Drosophila melanogaster: one gene and its partners. The protein of the gene in region 1 purifies or fractionates together with the protein of each later gene. This does not show direct contact. Each region holds a gene or a part of one and is shown on either strand. Other genes may lie near its edges.

What was found.
Region 2: the proteins of Pp4-19C (region 1) and flfl purify together in Drosophila melanogaster (affinity purification with western blotting; one study listed by BioGRID). This does not show direct contact.
Region 3: the proteins of Pp4-19C (region 1) and PPP4R2r purify together in Drosophila melanogaster (affinity purification with western blotting; 2 studies listed by BioGRID, with this or other methods). This does not show direct contact.
Region 4: the proteins of Pp4-19C (region 1) and Ptpa purify together in Drosophila melanogaster (affinity purification with western blotting, with the first as the bait; one study listed by BioGRID). This does not show direct contact.

Annotation. Positions count from the first base shown.
Region 1 is NC_004354.4:20,420,339-20,425,851, forward strand, and holds Pp4-19C (protein phosphatase 19C), read right to left. Parts: upstream 3,665-5,513; 5' UTR 3,308-3,664; intron 2,669-3,307; exon of another isoform or gene 2,615-2,668; 5' UTR 2,515-2,614; coding exon 1,721-2,514; intron 1,657-1,720; coding exon 1,527-1,656; 3' UTR 749-1,526; downstream 1-748. Other genes in the region: Obp19d (Odorant-binding protein 19d), read left to right, coding at 78-166, 239-375, 440-518; cactin, read left to right, coding at 3,816-5,513. UniProt on the Drosophila melanogaster protein: Protein phosphatase that regulates many processes such as microtubule organization at centrosomes. The probable PP4 complex Pp4-19C-PPP4R2r-flfl (PPP4C-PPP4R2-PPP4R3) is required to prevent caspase-induced cell death (in vitro).
Region 2 is NT_033777.3:13,681,726-13,687,001, reverse strand, and holds the start of flfl (falafel), read right to left. Parts: upstream 3,082-5,276; 5' UTR 2,852-3,081; intron 2,578-2,851; 5' UTR 2,478-2,577; intron 1-2,477. Other genes in the region: omd (oocyte maintenance defects), read left to right, coding at 3,869-3,975, 4,040-4,815, 4,871-5,215, 5,273-5,276. UniProt on the Drosophila melanogaster protein: Regulatory subunit of serine/threonine-protein phosphatase 4. The probable PP4 complex Pp4-19C-PPP4R2r-flfl (PPP4C-PPP4R2-PPP4R3) is required to prevent caspase induced cell death (in vitro). May be involved in DNA damage repair.
Region 3 is NC_004354.4:10,477,049-10,482,518, forward strand, and holds PPP4R2r (protein phosphatase 4 regulatory subunit 2-related protein), read left to right. Parts: upstream 1-1,789; 5' UTR 1,790-1,921; intron 1,922-2,321; exon of another isoform or gene 2,322-2,441; 5' UTR 2,442-2,452; coding exon 2,453-2,669; intron 2,670-2,740; exon of another isoform or gene 2,741-2,787; coding exon 2,788-2,976; intron 2,977-3,035; coding exon 3,036-4,459; 3' UTR 4,460-4,895; downstream 4,896-5,470. Other genes in the region: CG2889 (uncharacterized protein), read left to right, coding at 1-103; CG2887 (uncharacterized protein), read right to left, coding at 347-1,375. UniProt on the Drosophila melanogaster protein: Regulatory subunit of serine/threonine-protein phosphatase 4 (PP4). The probable PP4 complex Pp4-19C-PPP4R2r-flfl (PPP4C-PPP4R2-PPP4R3) is required to prevent caspase induced cell death (in vitro).
Region 4 is NT_033779.5:3,375,001-3,379,207, forward strand, and holds Ptpa (phosphotyrosyl phosphatase activator), read left to right. Parts: upstream 1-2,001; 5' UTR 2,002-2,098; coding exon 2,099-2,126; intron 2,127-2,181; coding exon 2,182-2,805; intron 2,806-2,861; coding exon 2,862-3,070; intron 3,071-3,155; coding exon 3,156-3,491; 3' UTR 3,492-3,590; downstream 3,591-4,207. Other genes in the region: CG15412 (uncharacterized protein), read right to left, coding at 1-28, 85-408; CG9662 (uncharacterized protein), read right to left, coding at 1,110-1,420, 1,481-1,619. UniProt on the Drosophila melanogaster protein: PPIases accelerate the folding of proteins. It catalyzes the cis-trans isomerization of proline imidic peptide bonds in oligopeptides. Acts as a regulatory subunit for serine/threonine-protein phosphatase 2A (PP2A).

The DNA of each region.
Region 1 (5,513 bases):
CGTACCACTCCTACCTGTGGTGGATGTGTTAGGATAGTTATTGTGCAATTATCAATCATATGATATATCGCTTACAGAGGATGTGGAGCAGCTGATGAGCCACGACCTGCCCGAGAGACACGAGGCCAAGTGCCTGCGCGCCTGCGTGATGAAAAAGCTGCAGATAGTGAGTGCTGCTGCTCCGGCAGGAAGTGTGATCCACTCACCACCACCCATTCCATTCTCCCTCCCATTGCAGATGGATGAATCCGGTAAGCTGAACAAGGAACACGCCATCGAGTTGGTCAAGGTCATGAGCAAGCACGATGCAGAGAAGGAAGACGCTCCCGCCGAGGTGGTGGCCAAGTGCGAGGCCATCGAGACACCCGAGGATCAGTGAGTAGTGCTCGCCGGAAGCTGTTGGCTCAAATCCGGACTATAATCATGCTGCCATTTTCAGTTGCGACGCTGCCTTCGCCTACGAGGAATGCATTTACGAGCAAATGAAGGAGCATGGACTCGAGCTGGAGGAGCACTGAGAACAGATTTGAGACCCATGACGACCCCCCGTTACTGTATCACAAGCGCCCTTCTGGAATATAACCATCTTTTTTTTTTATGTGTATACTATGAATTAAGTACTTGATAAACTGAGAAACTGCAGGCTTGATTGTTTGTTGGATTGTGAAGGGGGATTCGTATGGGTGTGGTTATCCTCCAAGACTCCTCGGGACCCATAATTTACTAATAAAAAATTCTTGCTCAATTTCGACGATTATATTACAATCTTTATTATTATAAATACAAGTACATTTTTTTGTATATCATCTCCCAATCTGGGGCATATTTAAAAGATTCTTACTCACTATTTATTAATGCACGATGTTCTTCGTACCTGGGTTTCTCCAGGTGATATCCTGCGGAGAAGGGACCCAGCCAGGGATGCGCGTTCGCTCTCGGCTCCCCTAAATATGTCCTAGCTTAGCCGACTTAACGCAATCTGTCGGTAAAAATATCTATTTGCTCAACTTGGGCTCCTAGTATAGTATGCTGCCCAAGCCCAGGGAATTCGTGTCGAGAAGACGGCGGCTCCGATTGCGGTCCGTCTACGCAAGGCGAATTCTCAGGGTCTTGGGCTATGGTCATTAAACCTATTAGTTAGTAGCTAGATGAGGTGCACAGGTCATACGCGATCTGCATGGCTGATCTCTACATGTTTTGAAAACAGCCATTAAAAGATCGCGCAAATAGCCTGATTAAACACAGGTAGAGGTAAACAGATGGTAAAAAAAATTTAAATATCTTAGTTGAACCAAAAAAGCAAATAAGTCTAACTGAACGTGGACCTGTGTCCGGCAGCTCTACCCTAGCTTACGTTTATGTTACATATTTTTTGTTTTACACCATCAGTTGCTATTCGCGTTCGCTTCGCTTTTGCAGGCTGGCAGTTTCTATTTCTATTCCCTAGATGATTTATGTAAGCTACCAGTCGGCACCCGCATCCTGTGCCGACTCCGTTCCACCGGATTGTCAGGAACGGAAGCGTCTTAGAGAAAGTAGTCCGCCTGAGGCTTCTTCGAGGGAATGCCGCGACTCTCTTGCGGAGCTGCCTCAAAGATGACGAAGTCGCGGTGCAGGTACTCATTCAGCTCCAGGATGGCAGCTACATTGCCGCAGCTGCATGTGGAGAGATTCCAGAGTTAACAACACAAGTTCGAAATTGCACAGGAGGCTGACTCACCGATAGCAGTAATTGGGTGCCGACCAGACGGTCAGGACGGTTTCGTTGAAGTGCCACTTGAAGCCCTCCATTACCAACTGGTGTGCACGGCAAATCATGTCGATATCGTTCGTGCGGTTGAACTGGGAGACCACGTCCGAGCCAAAGAGATAGCCAGCGCCGCGCGGCGACACGCCCCAGCCAGTCTGGTCCTCCGGATCGCTCCAAAGCAGGTCGCACATGGGCCCGTCGTGCGGCACCTCCTGCTTCCGGTCGATGCTGCGAATCTGGTCGAGGTACTGGATGGACGGCGACAGCCCGCCGTGCACGCAGAATATTTTGCCGTCGATGATCGCCGAAAGGCTGAGGTAGTCAAAGATCTCCGTGCAGTACCGCCACACGGCCGTCGATCCGTACTTGCGCAGGCACTCATCGTAAAAGCCGTAGACCTGTGTGATTTGGCGCGACTCATGGTTGCCCCGGATCAGCGTGATTCGGTCCGGATAGCGCACCTTCAGCGCCAACAGCAGCAGAAACGTCTCCACACTATAGTAGCCGCGGTCCACGAAATCGCCCATAAACAGGTAGTTCTTCTCGGGCACATCGCCGCCAACCTTGAACAGCTCCTTCAGGTCGTAGAACTGACCGTGGATGTCGCCGCACACGGTCACTGGCGAGTCCACACGCTGCACGTTGCCCTCCTCCACCAGGATCTCGCGGGCTTTGGCGCACAGGGCCTTCACCTCGTTCTCCTTGATGATCTCGCAGCGCTTCAGTTGCTCGATCTGTCGGTCCAGGTCGCTGTAGTCGGACATCTTCACCCGGAGGATGGCGGCAGCCGAGGCGACGGGGAAGCGGTGAATCGGACTGCAGGCGTTGACAGGGCGGGGACAGCGTTGTTAGTCGTTCACCAAACTGGCGCGGGTGGTTTTCAGGTAGCCACAAGGTTGCATAAGAGAAATACTATAAATTTTTGGTCGCTTGAGTGATAGGATAGGGTACTACTCTAGTCGTGCACAGCAAGTCTAGCGTTTTAGAGGCCATAAAGTGCATCTGTATAGCTGCATCCCCCACATCTAAGAATCAAGACGATTCAACTATATTTACGGATTGGGCAAATAATATAAACACACACATTCGCGTTCCCAGCTATTCCACTTGTTGAGATAGTCCATGAGGCTATTTCGCAATGAAAAGCCAACCAACGAGAAAAGAGGCTATATTCTCGATATAACTTCTTTTAGCTGTTTTAGATGGCTGTGTTTTAAGTGAATGCATACACATTTCTTTCAAATACGAAACGTGTATTTGACAGTGGATAGGGTTGGATTTGTTTTAAATCCAGAATTTCTGGATTAGAGATTAGTTCAGATTTTCAGTTGCTGCTGAACTGGAAGTAAGGTAACTAATAGTCGACTAATAACCATCCTTTTGTTTGTGTTTCGGTTTTTGAGTTCGCCTGCATGCGTCTGTGTGCGTCGGCTTTGTGCGGATGCTCGCGTGTGTGTGTGCGTCTGGCTTGTCGCTGGCCTTTTTGCCGCGCGCGATTTTCACCGTCTGCCGTGTTTTTCCTGTCTTCCCCGACACTTTTCCAGAATCACTACTTACTCAGCGCAGTGGCGGGCTATCTGGACAATCCTTTTGCTGGTAGCTCGGCTCTCGTGTTGGCGATTGAATACAAAAAATGCACATAAACGTTTTTGCCAACCGGGTTTCTGCGAAGAGCTGGATTGGCTACTTGCGTTTGTATCGATATATTGAGTAATGGCACTTGCAATGACACATCGAGTCTTCAGTTTCGATAGTGGGCATTACCACGAAGACCCTAAAAAGCCTTTTACACTGCACCAAGGATTCCATCGATAAATTATTTATTTTTGTGTATTTATAATACGCTGCAGCCGAAATTTTAAAATTTAAAGTTTGTAAAAACTAACCCTTGGAAAAATAAATCGACTTATCGGCAAGAGGGAGATGTGTTAATGTTATAATGCTTATATCGATAGCACTTTTGCAATTATTAGTGGCTATCTGGGTTGGTTTTCTCCATCTGGCAACGCTAGCATTGTTTATATTTTATTTCACAAGTTTTATCCCGAAAAACTCATTAAAAAAGATGCCCAAGGAGAAATCCAAGCACCGGCATCGCAGCCGCAGTCGGGAGAGGCGGGATCATCGCAGTCCGGATCCGAGGAGCAGCAGGAACAGGGATCGGGATCGTGAACGCGAGCGGGAAAAGGATCGTGACCACAGAGATCACAGAGACAAGGAACGTGACCAGCGCAGGGAAAGGGAAAAGGACAAAAGCAGGGACAAGAAGCGGGAGCACAAAAGCCGGAGACGCCGGTCCTCTTCCTCCAGCTCATCCCCGTCGAGTTCGACGTCCAGCTCGGTGCCCGGTGCCCCTCGTTCGCCGCTGGTAAAAAGCCCGATGAAGCTTCTCCAGACGCTGGAAGCCCGTCGCCTCGTCGAGCAGAAGGATCGTCAGCGTAAAAAGGAGGAGCTGAAGGCCCATGAAACGCCCGAGGAGAAGCGCGCCCGTCGCCTGCGCGAAAAGCAGGCCAAGGAGCAGCGGCGTCGCGAACGAATGGGCTGGGACAACGAGTACCAGACGTACTCCAACGAAGACAACCCGTTCGGGGACTCCAATCTCACCTCCACCTTCCACTGGGGCAAAAAGCTGGAGGTAGAGGGACTATCAAATCTCTCCACCAAAACCGTAGAGGTACTGTCTCTGCAAAAGCAGTTGGAAAATCGCAGGGAGCTGGAGAAGGTCAAGAAACGGCGTCAGGAGAGGGAGCTGGAGCGGCAGGTGCGCGAGGATGATCTTATGATGCAGCAGCGCGCCAAGGAGGCGGTGCAGTTCCGCGAGTGGCAGCGACAGGAAGATCAGTTTCACTTAGAGCAGGCACGCTTGCGCAGTGAAATCCGGATCCGAGATGGACGTGCCAAGCCCATCGATCTTCTCGCCCAATATGTGGCCGCTGGGAATGAGCCGCTCGAAGAGTGCCTCGAGATGCAGATGCACGAGCCCTATGTGCTGCTAAACGGCCTGCCCGTGGAAGAACTGGAGGACCTGCTGGTCGACATTAAGGTATACGAAGAGCTGGAGCAGGGCAAGCACATCGATTTCTGGAACGATATGATCACCATTGTGCAGGATGAACTGCAGCGCCAACAGAAACTGGAGGCGGAGAATAGTTCGCTCAATCAACGCCGGGATGGCATCCACCAGGCGGTGGTAAAGGATGTGGCCGATATTTTTAGGGGGAAGAATGCTCAGCAGCTGGAGGAGATGCGGCACCGCATCGAGGCCAAGATCAGTGGGCGAGCGGATGGCGTCGACATTAGCTACTGGGAAAGCCTGCTCTCGCAACTCAAGGCACACATGGCCAGAGCTCGACTGCGAGATCGCCATCAAGCCTTATTGCGCGAGAAGCTGTCGCTGCTCAAGCGAGAAAACGATAATGAGACGTTGCAAGAGAAGGTGGCCCCACAAGTCAAGGAAGAGGAGATGGAAACCCAGGACGCAGAGGACCCGGAGGTTGAGGAGGGCTCACCCGAAGACGAGGAGGATCCCCTGAATGAGCTGCGTAAAACAGTGCGTCTTTACCAGGCAGGGAACTACAGCCCGCGCTATATACGCGAAGAGGACTTCACCGGCAGACGAGCGCAAAACGAAGACGTCGACGAACCGGAGGCAGAAGGACTTCTCTACGAGGAGGAGGACGACGAGCGGCGAACACAGAGACAGCGTCTGCTAATCCTTCATCCAGAACGAGTGGATAACAATCAACTGACCCCGCAGGAACTG
Region 2 (5,276 bases), on another chromosome or scaffold:
TGCCAACTAAAATGCGAAATGCAAAAAATAATTAAGAAAAGAAAAGAAATGTGCCCGGTCTGTTTACAAACATTTAGCGTTTTCCATTAGATCTAGGCCTTCCGCAGTGCGCGCGTGTATCTGTAAATGTATCCGTATCTGTGCGATGGGGTTTTCGGTATGAGTAGGTTTACTATACATATAGTATACACTATATCTGAGCCACTATTATCGCTGCGCTTTCGCCCCACGGCGAGAGCAAACACGCGCGCGAAGAAAACAAACAGCGGCGAGGGCCAGAGAGCGGGTGACTCAAAACGAGGAAGGGGAGTAATCTAACCATTCTCGTACACAGAAAAAAAGTGTAAATAAACACATATCATACCCATATTTTCATTTATACACAGTTAACAATCAGTCCACTATTTCGTTATCTGCACGGCGAAAATCAATGGAGAAGTGTGTGAAATAATGTGCGAGTAAACAGAAGTGGCAAAAGCTACGTCATCGTTGAAGAGCGCCACCTCAATGTTGACTGTCCACCACAAATATTTACGTCACTCTAGATCACCCAACCGCTCACCACCCACCGCCCGCAGTGCCACTCGCCCAAGGTTGCAAGACGTCGGGGAAAATGCGTGCTGCGCTGTTTCGAAGCGATTTGCACAGCGATTAAGTTCCCACTTCCATGGTAATTCCAATAAAGCGCCATAGGCCACTGATAACGCCCGCAGGAGAATTGAAGCCCAGGCGGAGAGCCTGAGTATCTCAATCTCAATCTCAATCTGTAACTGAATCGGATTCCAAGTCTGAATCGGTACCAAAACAAAAGTAGCAATTCAAAACAAACGTAGCGAGCGGTTTCGTTTACGCAATCAGCTGCGAAAAACACGAGAATGCTCATGTGTACATAAGTGTGTCCAAGTGCCGCACAGCGCCACAGATTTCGTTTATTATTAATTTTTATTAATAACCAGCGGCCGCAGAAGGTTGCGAAAAGTGCCGAGAGAAAATCTGTGTGCGAAATATAGAGCTCTGGAGTCGAGTCATCAATAAAGTCCGGCAAATATGACAACTTGGCAGTATTTTTTCGCCCCAGCAACAATTAGTTTTTATAGGGAAGTTAGTAAGAGATACAGTTGTGAACAAGTCGGTGGCCTTTTTGACTCTATTTCGCTACTACCTAGTTAATAACACGTGTGCAAATCGTATTATGAATCACTAGACCTCTTTTATTCAAGGCATTTTCGTTTGGTTTGTAGATTACAGTCTTAGTATGTTGTAATTAAATTCGTAGTAGAATTAAGTTTAGGTTATAGTAGACAAAAATACAAACTAAGATAGGAATTATGCCTATCAACAAGTTTACATCTGATTAGGGAACTTAAGGTACTTGGGTACAGTATTAAAACTATGAATAAAATTTAGGAAGGTAGCAGGAAATTAATAAATATTGTTAAGACTTTAAATACCACCGGTAATTGTGTGAATACAAATAATACAACTATGCTCCATCATTTCAACCGCAACTGTAAATGGATAATTGGAGTCTCGCTGCTCTCTTCCTGTTCTTCGCACACATACACACGCATGGGCGCGAACGCTGCAAGTGTCCGTGTGAAGAAGGAGAAGGCGAAGAGGTGGGAATCCAAAAGCTAAGGATGCAGGACTTCATTAGGAAGTGGTTCGCATATCCCTTTCGTTATCTTCTTACTTTCGCCCCCAGCAATGAAACGCCATGAATTGGGGGAGACGGAATCTAACGATTGCGAACGCGTCGTATCTTGTTTTTTGCATGCATGACAATGTGTGCAGAATACGCGCGCGCTCACACACTAAACCACTCGCACAACCGAAGGCGTGTGTGCATGTATGCAATTTTTTGGGGTGGTATTGGCGGTGAAGGCAGGAGGGATGAAGGGAAAGAGACGGGCGGAGAACTCGAAAATTTAGCAAGTAAACACTCTCCGATTGCGATTACAAAGTCAGCTAATTTCCTTTCATTTTTTATTATAAATTTTTGATTCCGTTTTTTTGTTGATGCCCAACAGTTGATGTATTTTCATACGCGATACACACACAACGCGCTACAGACACTTGGACGCACACAGACACAACGTCTGGCAAGTACATCGCTTTTTGGGCCGTCTCTTTTGCGGTTCATTCAATAAAATTATTGCGAATGGCAGGCGCAAAACAGAATCGCAAAAATTGCAGTGTATTGTGGGAAAGAAGAAGAGGCGTGTGGTAAAGAAAAATGCCGTCTCTCCACCACACACATTACACATGCACGCAATTTTGATCGCTACACGCGCCACCCACACTCTGCAATGTTTTTGTTGTTGTTGCAAGCCGATTTTGTTTTGATTCGATACTTTATTTATGTATACATAATATTTAGGAGCAGCGCATTTCCGCGATATTCGCTGGCGATTTTGCATTTCATTGAAACGCACACAAAACGCAGGGAAAAGAAAAACAGACGACGGCTAACTCACCTCGAACACACGCACACCTACAAACCACACACAGCGGAGAGCGAGGAAATTCAACACGACGGTATGCGTTGTTGCATAAAGTGCGATAAAAGGGGAGACACTGAAAGAAGCAAATCAGCCGAGTTGTATTCAAAATCGGGATCCAATATGGGCTATTGCCGGGATATATAGTCCGATTCCCTGGCAAGGCCGCAAATCATCCACGGAGTACGTGAGAACACACCGTCGGTCACATTCACAGTAAAATTCAAACACACACACACTAGCACGCAGACAACACAGAAGCCGCAAGAGGGCAAAAGAGAGCGGGAGAGAGAGAGCAGCAAAGAGAGAGAAAGAGCGCGGGGGCAAAAACCAAAAAGTTATACACTCACGCTGCAATTCCTTGTTTCTGTTTCTGGCGTTTTTCGCTTTTAGTGCTTAGCACGCTGGCTGCATTCGATCAGTTTATATACAATTTTCTCTTGCGCATATTTATTGGGGGATCACGAGTTAGTTTTCGACCAATATATCTTCCCGGATAATTGTAATTTTCGCTATTTTCCGCGGACCGACGCTAGAGCGTTGGTCTGACCACGACGATAATATCTGCGTATCGATACTCGGCCAGAGAGTACAGCGATAGTTGCATATGACGAGAATGTGAGCTGTTATCGATATCGAACTCTAGCACCCCTGTGACGCCACCATTGTTATGGTACTCTATTAACATATACTTGGCAAAACTGGAGCACCTTGAATGAATATTTGTACAAATCAGAGCAGAAAAAAGCAAACAGCACGACAAACTGCGAGACAGATTCGCCGCTTCGACGCCATGTTGTCTTTCGCTCTTGATTCGCCCCAAAAGAGTGTGCAATAATGCACGAACTGGGTTTTGGTGTTACCGTTTTTCGCACTCCCTACTGTTACGATAATATTTTAAAACAAAAACACGTTAAATATTATAAAATTAGAAAATAGAGCTATAAGTACGTTTACTTAGTATTAAAAAGAGCAAACAGTTTGATTACTCAGTAATTACATCCTCGATTCGAAAGTTAGCATTGTAGTAAACACATAATTCCGATTAGAAATCTTTTCCAGCTTAATTTAACTTGAATGTAAAGTGTCATCTTAAACTAATCTCAGGTGCTAGTTTATAATGAATGTAATGACACGTTAGAGTGCTAAGATATTTATTATTCTGTTAATTTTATGATTTTCAGATATTAAAGAATTTCGAATTTTCTGCCGCCTTAGTGTGGCCAGGTGGCGGCGGATTCCAAATGCCTGCAGTTGTGCCCCGTCGTTTTGGTATTCCGAGTGAAAGACGCAGCGACCCGCTGCTGCGATGCATTTGCTCACTTGGCCAACTTCGGTGCTGCGTTCCCGATGCCTAGGACGACAAAATGCTGCGCCAGAACCTGTTGGATCAGCTTAAGCACTTCATAGAGACGGTGAGCAATGGGCACAGTTGTCCGCAGCTGCTGACCAGCCCCAATCTCATCAAGCTCGCGTGAGTAGCAACCGCGGTGGTTAATAATGATGCCCGTAGTAAATAATTCCATGGATATTTGCAGACTGGGATTCCTGGAGGAGCTGCCCGCCACGCGAGACATTGTGTTCGAATACTTCGCCCTGCTGGCCGAAATCAGTGTGCAGCTGTATGTGTCGCCGGAGATGGCCGACCCAAAGACCGGTATGCCGGTATCCCAGGTGAAGCTGGCCGGGAATCGCCAGCAGCAGCAACGTGCTCCGGAATACGAGGCTTTCAATCTGGTAAAGACCGCGCTGCAGAGTCTGGTGTGGAAGGGACCGCCCGCCTGGTCGCCGCTCATCGCCAACTGGAGTCTGGAACTAGTGGCCAAGCTGTCCGATAAGTACACCCAGCGGCGGATGACCATCACGGCCAGCTGCAACTATTGGCTGGAGTGCAGCGCCATGCACGGGCTGATGACCCTTATAAATAGTTGTTTCCGAAAGTTAACCCAACCGGAGGAGGAGGCCTGCGTGGAGATCATGCTCAATGCCTTTCACCGGTTTCCCATGACCTTCGACTGGATTGTGGCGAGATTGGGCGGCTGTTTCCCTTACAAGATCATCATGCAGATTCTACAGTGCGGCATCAAGCGATTCGTCGATGACTACCGCTGCCACCTGGATTCGGAGGCGGGCATCCTCGATTATATGACCTCGTGCCACGAACAGCACCTTAGGGCAGCCTTTCGTGAGATGCTTAGGGAGGGATTCGCACCGAAGAAGCCGCTGGACGTGGCCGTTGTTCCTTTCCTGCTGATCACCACCAACTACTCGGACACGATCCTGCAGAGCTTGGTCAATGTGCTAGTCGAAATCTGTAAGTACTGGTTGAATAAAGAGATATATTATTTCTCTAACACAATGTCATGTAGATACCGAGGACATGTGCGAGGTGATAGTGCAGAAGGCGCCGTTGTGGCTGAGCAACAAAATGTTTGCCGGTATGCAGCCCACGCTGAATAATGCCGTGCTGCGCCTGAACGAGCGTGGAGCGACGTTGCTCCTTACGGCAGCCAAAATGGCCGAGAAGTATGTTTGGTGTCAGGATTTCCTGGACAATTCGATGCAGGAGCTGGAACAGTGGGTGCTCAACCAGCGGAACTTCCCGTTGCTGGCCGATCTGGCCTATGAGGAAACCAAGTACATGCTGTGGAAGAGCTGCCTCAGCACCAATCTCTTCGAGCAGCAAACAGCGGTGAGATTACTGCTGGTGGTCTGTGAGTAGAAAGTTCTTCAGATATTGAAATGGCAGACTTTACGAACTATTTTTCTAGCATC
Region 3 (5,470 bases), 9.9 Mb from region 1:
CTCCAATATGTATGTCCACATTAAGCAGCGTCACGCGGACGAGTGGCTGCGCGCCAAGATGGCACGCTCGCACAATCCGCAGTTCAAACCGGCCGACGTTTAAACCTGACCCCTCACAATTGTGTTTAATCATTATACGTATAATTAAACTGTACTTCACTGGTTTCATTCTTATTAGAGGTATTTGTAGCGGACAATGCTTGTTAGAGGTAGATTATAAGATCTTTATTGAATCACATAGAAAAAAAATATGTAATTTTATGTGGAGCACAGATGATTTTTTGTTGTATGTATGATCCGTTGATCCGTTCATAAAGACGGATAACATCTCCAGGTGTCCATTCGATCAGTTTTGCAGAAGTCTGTCGAGCGAGGATGCGAGTTCTTTGGATATGGCGTCTGGAAACTGGATGGAGAACCTGACGACGATGGAGCCGCGACGGGAATTATTAATGGAATCGGGCAATCCGTAGCCCAGAATGCGGCGCACGGATTTCGGACTGATTACCTCGCCCACGTCGGTCTTGAGTTCCATCGGCCTGCCAAGAAGCGTCGGCACCATCACGTGTAAACCGCACAGAGCATCCTTCAGCGAGATTTCGGCTGTGTACAGCAGATTGTTGCCATCGCGGCGAAAGATTGGGTGTGGCTTGTCCCGGATTATAAACACGACGTTGGCGGGCTCAAGGTTGGGCAGTTGAATACCCTCATTGGGAAAGCAGATCTTGGTGCCAGCCTTACAGCCCGGAGGTATCTTGACAGTGAGAATTCTGTCATATTGTACCCCATCAACGCCGTTCCTACCCGAAGCCCGGGAGATCTTCATGCGCCTGTTGCACCCGTTGGCAATGTCCTCCAGAGCAACGTATATTACATGTTCGATGCTTGACTGGGGTGACTGTTGTTCGCAACGACGTTTAGGCGCGCCCGCTCCTCCACCCAACAGGACGTCATCGTCGCTGTCAAAATCGTTTTCGATATCCTCGAAGAACGTAGAATATGATTCGCTGTTGTCGAAGAAACGTCCAAAGTTGGCCCGCGGGTTGTTCTGGCGACCACCGCCACTGCCACCGCCACTGCCACTGCCACTGCCACCACCACAGCTACCAAATGCCGTTCCATCGCCGAAACCGCTACCTTGATTCGCGGTATTGCGTCGGGTACCCTTGTCATTGCGGGAGTCGTACGATCCGCGCTTCTTTTTGTCTGATAGGACTTCATATGCCTTGGCCACCTGCTTAAAGATCTCCTCCGCCTGAGGGCTCTTGTTTTTGTCCGGATGGTAGCGCAGCGCTTGCTTATGATATGCCTTGCGGATTTCGCCATCATTGGCAGTGCGCTGGATGCCCAGTATCTTGTAGTAGTCTTTAGGCATGGTTTTTTACTCCAAATGTTTTACGTACACAGACGAACAAGTGCAACTCCTTCGAAAATTTAATCGAATTGTAAAAGGTATTGTTCCAATCAGAATGTTGCTTAATTTGAACAACACTGCTACGATTACTATATGCTTACTATTTATTTATGCTTCGATTTAGATTTTATAGCCTAACGCCCTTTCTTTTAGTTTTTCTATTGGTCTGATTTTGGTTAACTTATACAACAATATTTTCGCTGCATAACTTTAAAAAGGGAGTGGGACATAACAAGTTTTGAATTCAAGAACCGATTACTTTCGATATTTACCGCCATGCTCAGTGCCATGGTTACTCAAAAATCATCGATTGCTAGCTGCGCTCATACGATAGTTGCCATCGGGGGTCGCTCATCACTGCCGGCATCAAACGGTCACATCACTCTCAATATTAATTGATAAGCAAAAAATTGAGCAAGTTCTCGCATAAACTTTGCAATCGGAAAAGCGTAGTTGTGATAAAAACAAGTAGAATAACAAAAACAAAAAAACAACAAACAAAAAAAAGTAGGTTCAAAAAATGGAGAGCGAGAAAATCTGTGACCTGAAAATGTTGAGGTGGGCCAGTTTCGTGATGGAAATTCGCAGGGCGTCGTGTATATTTTTCTTTTTTTTTGGCCTTCTGGCGCAGACAGTTACAACAACAACTATGACTTGGCAACAAGAGTTGCAGCCGCTAACATACACACGCAGCCAGACATGCAGAAGCTGTGAGCAGCTTTTGCGAATTGTAGAAAATGTGTGCTTGTGTGCAACATAACTAGTTTTCTCCTGCGAATCATCCACGAAAAGAGAAAGAGGGACAGAGAGAAATGTCTGACAGCTGGCAGATGCAAGATGTATTATGTCCGCTTCTTGCGCATACCTACCTGCACACAATTGCAGTTGCTCATTTGCTCTCTCGTTTTTTGTGTGTCTACCTCGAGGTGGAAAATGTTCATAACTTTGCCGGCCGGTTTTTGATCTCCTTTCTTTGCTCACCACTTTTTCCCCCCAAATCATGATCATAGCTTTCCCCTCCGCTCAGCGATCGCCTAAATGGTCACCATGGAAAACAGCGACGAGATAATGCAGATCCTAGAGCGCTTTACGGATCTTAAACAAAAGGAGATCCCAAAGGAGCTGGAGGAGTACCTACAGTATGTGGCCAAGACCGGCGACACCATCTTCAAGTGGTCCAGCCTGAAGTACTTGTTCCGCGAGAAGCTGCTCAGCGTGATCAAGCACTTTAATGAGGATTCGCCGCGTTTGGAGGGTGAGTTTTCAGGTTGTCCTGTTAGGTTTGGTGTCAGGTTGAACCATAATCCGAAATGCAATTCCACTCAGGGATATTAGGAACAGAAATAACCGAAGACGAACTTAACTGCTTGCAGAGATTCCCAACTATCCGAATGTGGACCCTTTCAACTACGAGACCATGAAGTCCTCGTTGCTGGAGCGCTTGGACCTTTTCAATGCAGCTCCTTTTACCGTGCAGCGGTTGTGCGAGCTACTAATCGATCCTCGGAAGCAGTACTCGCGCATCGATAAGTTTATGCGTGCTTTGGAAAAGAATATTTTAGGCAGGTCTCATTCCTAAAACTAACTATTTACTATGTATTAAAGATTCTTAATTTTACAGTGGTTAGCACAATCGATCCTGGACGCAAGCGTACCGAAAGTGAGAATGGCGACTCGCTGGACTCAGTGGTCAACGGGGACCTCTCCATGGAGGTGAACATTGACATTGAAATGGAGAATAATAACGGTAACGCCGATGAGGGCTCATCTCCCGGCGCCGGTTCGGCAGGTTGTGCCCAGAAGGCAAGCTGCCCGCGTTCGGACGACAATGATCAGCCCAAGGCCAAGAAGGCAAAACTGGAGATCGATGGTGAAGAGCGTTCGGAAGCGAGCGATGAAACGGACACAGAAGTGGCAACCAGGGTCAAAAATGAAAAGGATGAGAAGAATGACAACGATGAGACTGATTCGCCGCATGAGGCTGCCGAGATCGAGGAGCCCGATGAAGAGGTGGATGAGGCTGATCAGGAGACCAAGACCACCAAGCAGCCTGCTTACGGCAGTCAGAAGGAGGGCGAGCAGGAGGAAAGTTTCCCATCATCTGCCGATGACGAGGCGGAGGACCCAATGGTGAGCAAATCCATAGAAGCTGAGAAAGAACTTGTTGCTCAGGAAAAGAAGAGGGAGGAGGACAAAAAGGTGGCAATCGAGCCAAAAGAAGAGATTGTAAAGAAGGAAGAGGTCGTCGAGTCTGATAAACCGGACGGAAAGGTGGCACAGTTAGGCGACAAGGCAGTTGTCAAGAAATCTACACCGCCTGCCGATGGGGAAAACCAGGAGCCTGTCAAAGTCAAGGCAGAAAACGAAAAGGAGGAGAAAAAACATGCACCAATTAAAACTGAAAAGCAGGACGATATCGACTCTACTGAGACTGACGATGCCCCATCAGCAGAAAAACCCGCTGAAGAAAAGATAGCTTCCTCCGAATCGAAACCGAAGACCAAATCTGAGGACGATCCAGAGGCCGAGACCAAGAAGAGCCAACCGGAAAAGACTGAAACTGAGGCGGCCGAGAAGTCGGTTTCGGATGAAAAGCAGGCTGCCGAGCCGAATGCAGAAAGCGAGAATAGGAACGACTTGACCACTTCCAAAGCGACCGAGGCAGCCCAGGAGTCAGTCGAGAAGTCGCCGGTTGAGGATGCTTCTAGTCCTGCTGTGGAAGATCTGGCAGCTGCAACCACACCGCAATCTCCTTTGGGCGCTGCCGATTCCGCTGCTGAGACGCCGCCTGCTGAGACAGGCGATGACTCGCAGGCTTCGCCCTTGGTCGCCGCTGTAACTCCGCCTGTCTTGGCCCTCAACGACCAGCCCATGGAGGATACTCCAGCCGAGGAGGAGGCACGCGTCTCGCCGTCGGCCACCGTCGAGGAGGTGGTAATGGCCGAAAGCGCCAATGCCGGCGCAATGGCCACCGAAGAGGCCGCCAAGGACGATCCGGCCGCCATGGAGATCGATGACACCAGCCAGGAGGTGATGATGCAGTAGATTGGGCCCATTCAGGAGCCGTAAACACCTTTATTTAACTACTACTCCATATAACTAGTATTTTAAGACAAAAGCCGCAAATAATGTAGATGTAATCCTGCCCTGCTTTCCCTTTTATATCCCAACAGATCCCAATACTTTCCAATAAGGCAAGCAGTGGTAGCTCCCCCTTCGTAGCCGTAAGTCGCAGCCCGGACACGATCCAACACTAGACTCTGTTGGCGGTTCGGTGTTTCATGCTCTGTGGCCTCCCCTTTTGTTTTGTATTTATGTTGTGCTGTCCACCCCCTTGCGAATGACAATTTTGAGTATCTCAACCCCCTCGCCACTGTTCCCAAATTTTTTTAAATAATCTAGTTTTAGACGCTGTCCGTGGCACGAACTTCGGCAAGCTGTGAGCGCGATTAAACACAGAATAAACACTACTCGTAATAACAGTTCGCCGCCGTTATCCTTTCGATCCTTTCAGGTGCAGGTGCAGTATATCTTAAAAGCATAATAGGATTTACCAAAACGCTGTAGGGATAGCTTAGCATGTTGCTAAAGGTTTTTGTCCACTTTTTATTATAAATTTTGGGCAATTGAGCAAAGCTTTAATTATAATTGTGTAAGGTTGAGGTATTCCAGGACAAAGGACATTTAAAGGAACTTGTTGGAATACCTGATTGGGGTCATTTTGTTGGCATTTTAAATGAAATGACTTGCTTTTGAACGAATAGAATCGGGCGTTAATTTGATTGTGGTTGCAGTTATAGTTTGTGAAATATTTAACAGTTGTGCTGATGTTTTTGGTTACTAACTCAATTTATGGGGCTAGATAAGTTCGTCGGACTAGTGCAATCTGACATATCGACGCTTTTAATCGCCGAATGCTTTGCAAGCCAATCGAATCCTTTTCTATTTGTTTTTGCCCAGTGAAAGCCAGTCGAGTTTCTTTGGTATAGATTGTGTAGGTGTGTGAGTAACAAGCAAACAGAAACACAGAAATTGGCACGCAAGGCGAGCAAGCAA
Region 4 (4,207 bases), on another chromosome or scaffold:
TCAGTCCTGCGCCTTGGGCTGCAATCACCTGGAAATTGAACCCTTGTTCAAAAGAGTCTTCTATATAGGATTTTCCTTGATTACCTGCAGGATCTTCTCGTAGTAGCTGAAGGGAAACACCTCGGTCATCAGGAAAGTAACGCCACAGTTGAGCAGCATCTGCAGGCAGGTGAACCGCATGTTGGCGTCCAGATAGTCCGAGCTGAGGATCACCCTGAGCAGATCCTGGTATATATTGGGGGTTGCTCCCAGCTGGGCCAGATACTCGTTCAGTTCCACCATGACGATGTTAATGTCCAGCTGCACGTCCGGGGCATACTGCGCGTAGCTGATGGTGGACACCAAGAGATTGGCCAGCTCCGCCAAGGCGCTGTCGCTCAGCGATCGCACGGAGCACTTTTTCGACATGTCTCTGTTATGGTTTCGGCCCAGAGGTAAACAAAATACGACGCAGAAGCCGCTGGGAGATGAGCGCACTAGAGGAATTGTTTTGCTCGTGGTTACATCACTTGGTAGCAGGCGCAATGCTGGTTGTTTTCCTGCTCCCTTAGAGTATTTCTAACGTTCCTCGGTAACTATTTGCCCAATATCAGCTAATGGCGCACTTCTACACATGCGTGTACCTTATATTTAGGGGTAAAAATAGATTCTAAAATTATATAGGCGAAGGAATCGGTTTCTGCCGACGAACTAGTGAACTGCTCGATCCAACAGCACGATGCAAACTGAGAGCCATGGGACGCCAAAATGTTTGGTTTCCTCGGTTCCACATTCTCAATTCGGCGAGCCACTTGAGCGACCAAAAAAAAACAATGCTTAACTCGTTTCATTGTTATTTTGAGTCGCTTTACAATTGCATTATTTATTCGACAGCATCGGAATAGAGACATTCTATAGTTTACTTAACTGATTCGGATGAAAGCCAGCCAGTTATTCTGCTGTTTAAACAATATTACAACTATTACACAAAATTTTAAAACGAAATCAAAGTTTTTGTTTGGTATTCCGCAGCTTTAAGCCTTTTAAACTAGAATTTCTGGCGAATGCAGTTCGGTTTACAGATATTCGAATGTGGGAGAGTACTAAGAGAGCGTTTTTCAGTAGAGATTCTAGGGCTGCAGGTAGCTGGGCAGCTTCATGCGCATGAACAGCCAGGTGGTGAAGAAGGAGACCAGGATGAAAATGAATCCCATGGCGGTCAGCAGCAGGCGGTTGAGGTTCGTCTTGCCCGGCGTGTGCGTTTGGTCCATGATAATGAATCCCAGTCCGCCGACGGTGAACAGGAAGCTGCTGGCCAGGCCCTCCATGATGTACTGCCCATTCACACGGTAGGGCATAAAGGCCACTGGACGCGAGTGTCCGTGCTCATCCACCGTGGCTCCCAGACTGGGCGGCTCCACAATCACGTCATATATGATACCTGCGGGCCAATTTGCATCTCTGTTTAACCAATCTCAATTATAGAAAGCTTAGGACTCACCGCCTGTCACCAGAAAATAGGAAAACAAAATCACACTGAAAACGGCCATCGGTGACGGCATTGGAATGCTGAATCTGCGCACCTTGATGTTCGGCGGCACCAGGATGTGGAAGGGCAGGTTATACAGTGTCTCGATCATGATGAACTAATAATTTAATAACTATAAATTTAAATATATCACGGATTTTTCAATTTTCGTGGCGGTGTCGCTGAATTTTGCCGGCGTAGGCGGAGTTTGTTGTTATCTATCGAATAGGGATGGACACTTGTACGATACTCCCCCTGCATTGGTGTATTTCCACTAGACAGCATCTATGCTTGCAGCTGCATCGTAAGCCATGTCATTGTACTGTTAATGTCTTAAGTTTTAAACTGCCTAATCGATTTGAATTTTTTTATAAGACTCAAAATATATTATATGTAACATCAAACGATTGGCTTATTGATACTAATGTGCTTCAGCTGCGCAGCGTGAACAGCCTTTATATTTGGTCATACTTAGTGATGTCACTATTGCGCTCGCGTAGAAAAAGAGGAAGATGCCCCCAAAATAACAAACAAAACGTAACTCCCGATCAAAATAGCTTTAAATTGAAGTTAAATAACGAAACAACTATAATGGCGAGTGGCATTAACCAAGCAGCAGGTGGGCTGAGTGAATTTCTGAAGATTCGTAGCTTAGTTAACCACTCCATTTGCAGGTAAACTGCCGGCAATTGCGAAGAAGGTGCAAAATCTCGGCGATATGGGCGTTTGGCAAAAATCCCGCGCCTTCCACGATTTAATTGGATATATAAATGGCACCAGTTCGGCCATTCAGGGCATTAAAACCACAGACGAGATTTTCGAGTCGGAAATGCTCAAGAAGCTGCTGCGGCTATTCGATGCACTGGAGAAATTGGTAGAGCAAAATCCTCCATTGGAGCAGCCGCAGCGGTTCGGAAACAAAGCCTACAGGGATTGGGCGCAGGCAATGCGGGAATTGTTGCCCGAACTCCTAGAACAGCTGTTGCCAGACGACAAGAAGCGATACCAGGTGGAGCTGGGGCAGTATCTCACTGAATCTTTCGGCAATGCCACCAGGATCGACTACGGCACCGGCCACGAGCTGTCCTTCCTCTTCTTCCTGTGCTCCCTGTTCAAGGCGGAGATCCTGCAGGAAAGGGACATCGTGAGTGCTGCGCTGAGACTCTTCAATCGGTACCTTGAGCTCGCCAGGCAGCTGCAGCGAACATACAACATGGAACCCGCTGGGAGCCAAGGAGTCTGGTCGCTGGACGATTTCCAGTTCGTGCCCTTCATCTGGGGCAGTGCACAGCTGGCGGGTAAACAATTAAGAAGGATTCCTCCAAGATTTCCTTTCTGAAACGATTCCTTTCAGTTAAGAGTCCCTTTGATCCCTCGAAGTTCGTGGACGAGGCGATAATCACCGAGTACAAGGATCACTTCATGTTCATCAGTTGCATCGACTACATCTGCAAGGTCAAGACTGGACACTTTGGCGAGCACTCTAACCAGCTGTGGAGCATCACGGATGTGCCAACATGGGCCAAGATCAACGCGGGACTAGTTAAGATGTACCAAAAGGAGGTAATCTTTAGTCAGTAATATGACTAATATAAAGTAGCTTTAATTGAATACCTAGTACTCAGAAACTACTATAAACTATCCACAGATTCTCTCCAAGTTTCCCGTGATCCAGCACGTCTACTTCGGAGAACTGATGACATTCGAGCCCGTCTCCTCTGGCACAACTCTGTCCAACGCACGACTGGGTCATGTGGCTCCGCCGCCATCCAAACGCATCTGCATCGGGACTCCAAACTTGGTGCCACCAGTTCCTGTTGCCACTGCTCCTCCTCCGCCCGCCGAATCTCTTAGCATCGAACAGAATGTGGGCGACTCGAGCAGTGAGAGCAGCGACAACAGCGTGGTACTACGTCCATCCACATCGTCGTCTTCTCTGGTGGCGGCCGCCGAGGGATCTGGGGATAAGCCCAGCAAGGAATAGACTACAGAATGGAGGAAAATGGCGATGGTGTAACCTGTGTTAAAAATTCTTATTAATAGCGTTGGCCAATGGTCCAGTAAAAACTGTTTACACAAGTACAATCGCAATTTGTGTTCCTGGGTCTTAAAGTTTCCGCTTTCAAATGGGTACATGAAGCACTTTCCCGGCGAATGTGTTTCACAACATTTAATCCGAGTTTAATGGAAACAAATGTTCTTTCCCATTTACACAAGAAAAAGTACAAAAATGGGAAGCGATGGACGAGCGGAAAAAAAATAAACAAAATCAATATGGCAAATGAGGCATGCAAATAGATGAACTCGTTGTAGTACATCTACTTTTGCGGGTAGAAACAGCTTAAAACAGGACGAATTTATAGCAGAAAAAGAGGGAAGCTGGAAAGTGGCAAAATGTAAAAGTTGAAAAAAAAAAACTTTTGCGGGGAGTCCCCCTGAAAGCATAATCATTTATTTTCGACACATCATTTATCAAACCGTACGGCAGGCGCCAGCTTGCCACGCCCCCTCATTTCGTCACTTAAAAACTTCATCCGGCATAGTTTTTTTTTTTTGTTTTTTTCTTCGTTGTATATTTTGAGAAAAACCGGGTAGGCAAGGCAGCAGCGAATGCATTAAAACTTTGCCGACGCATTTTGATTGAAGACTTTCGAAAAACACGAAAATGTGTGCTTTTCTCCATTGTTTTGGCCCAAAATG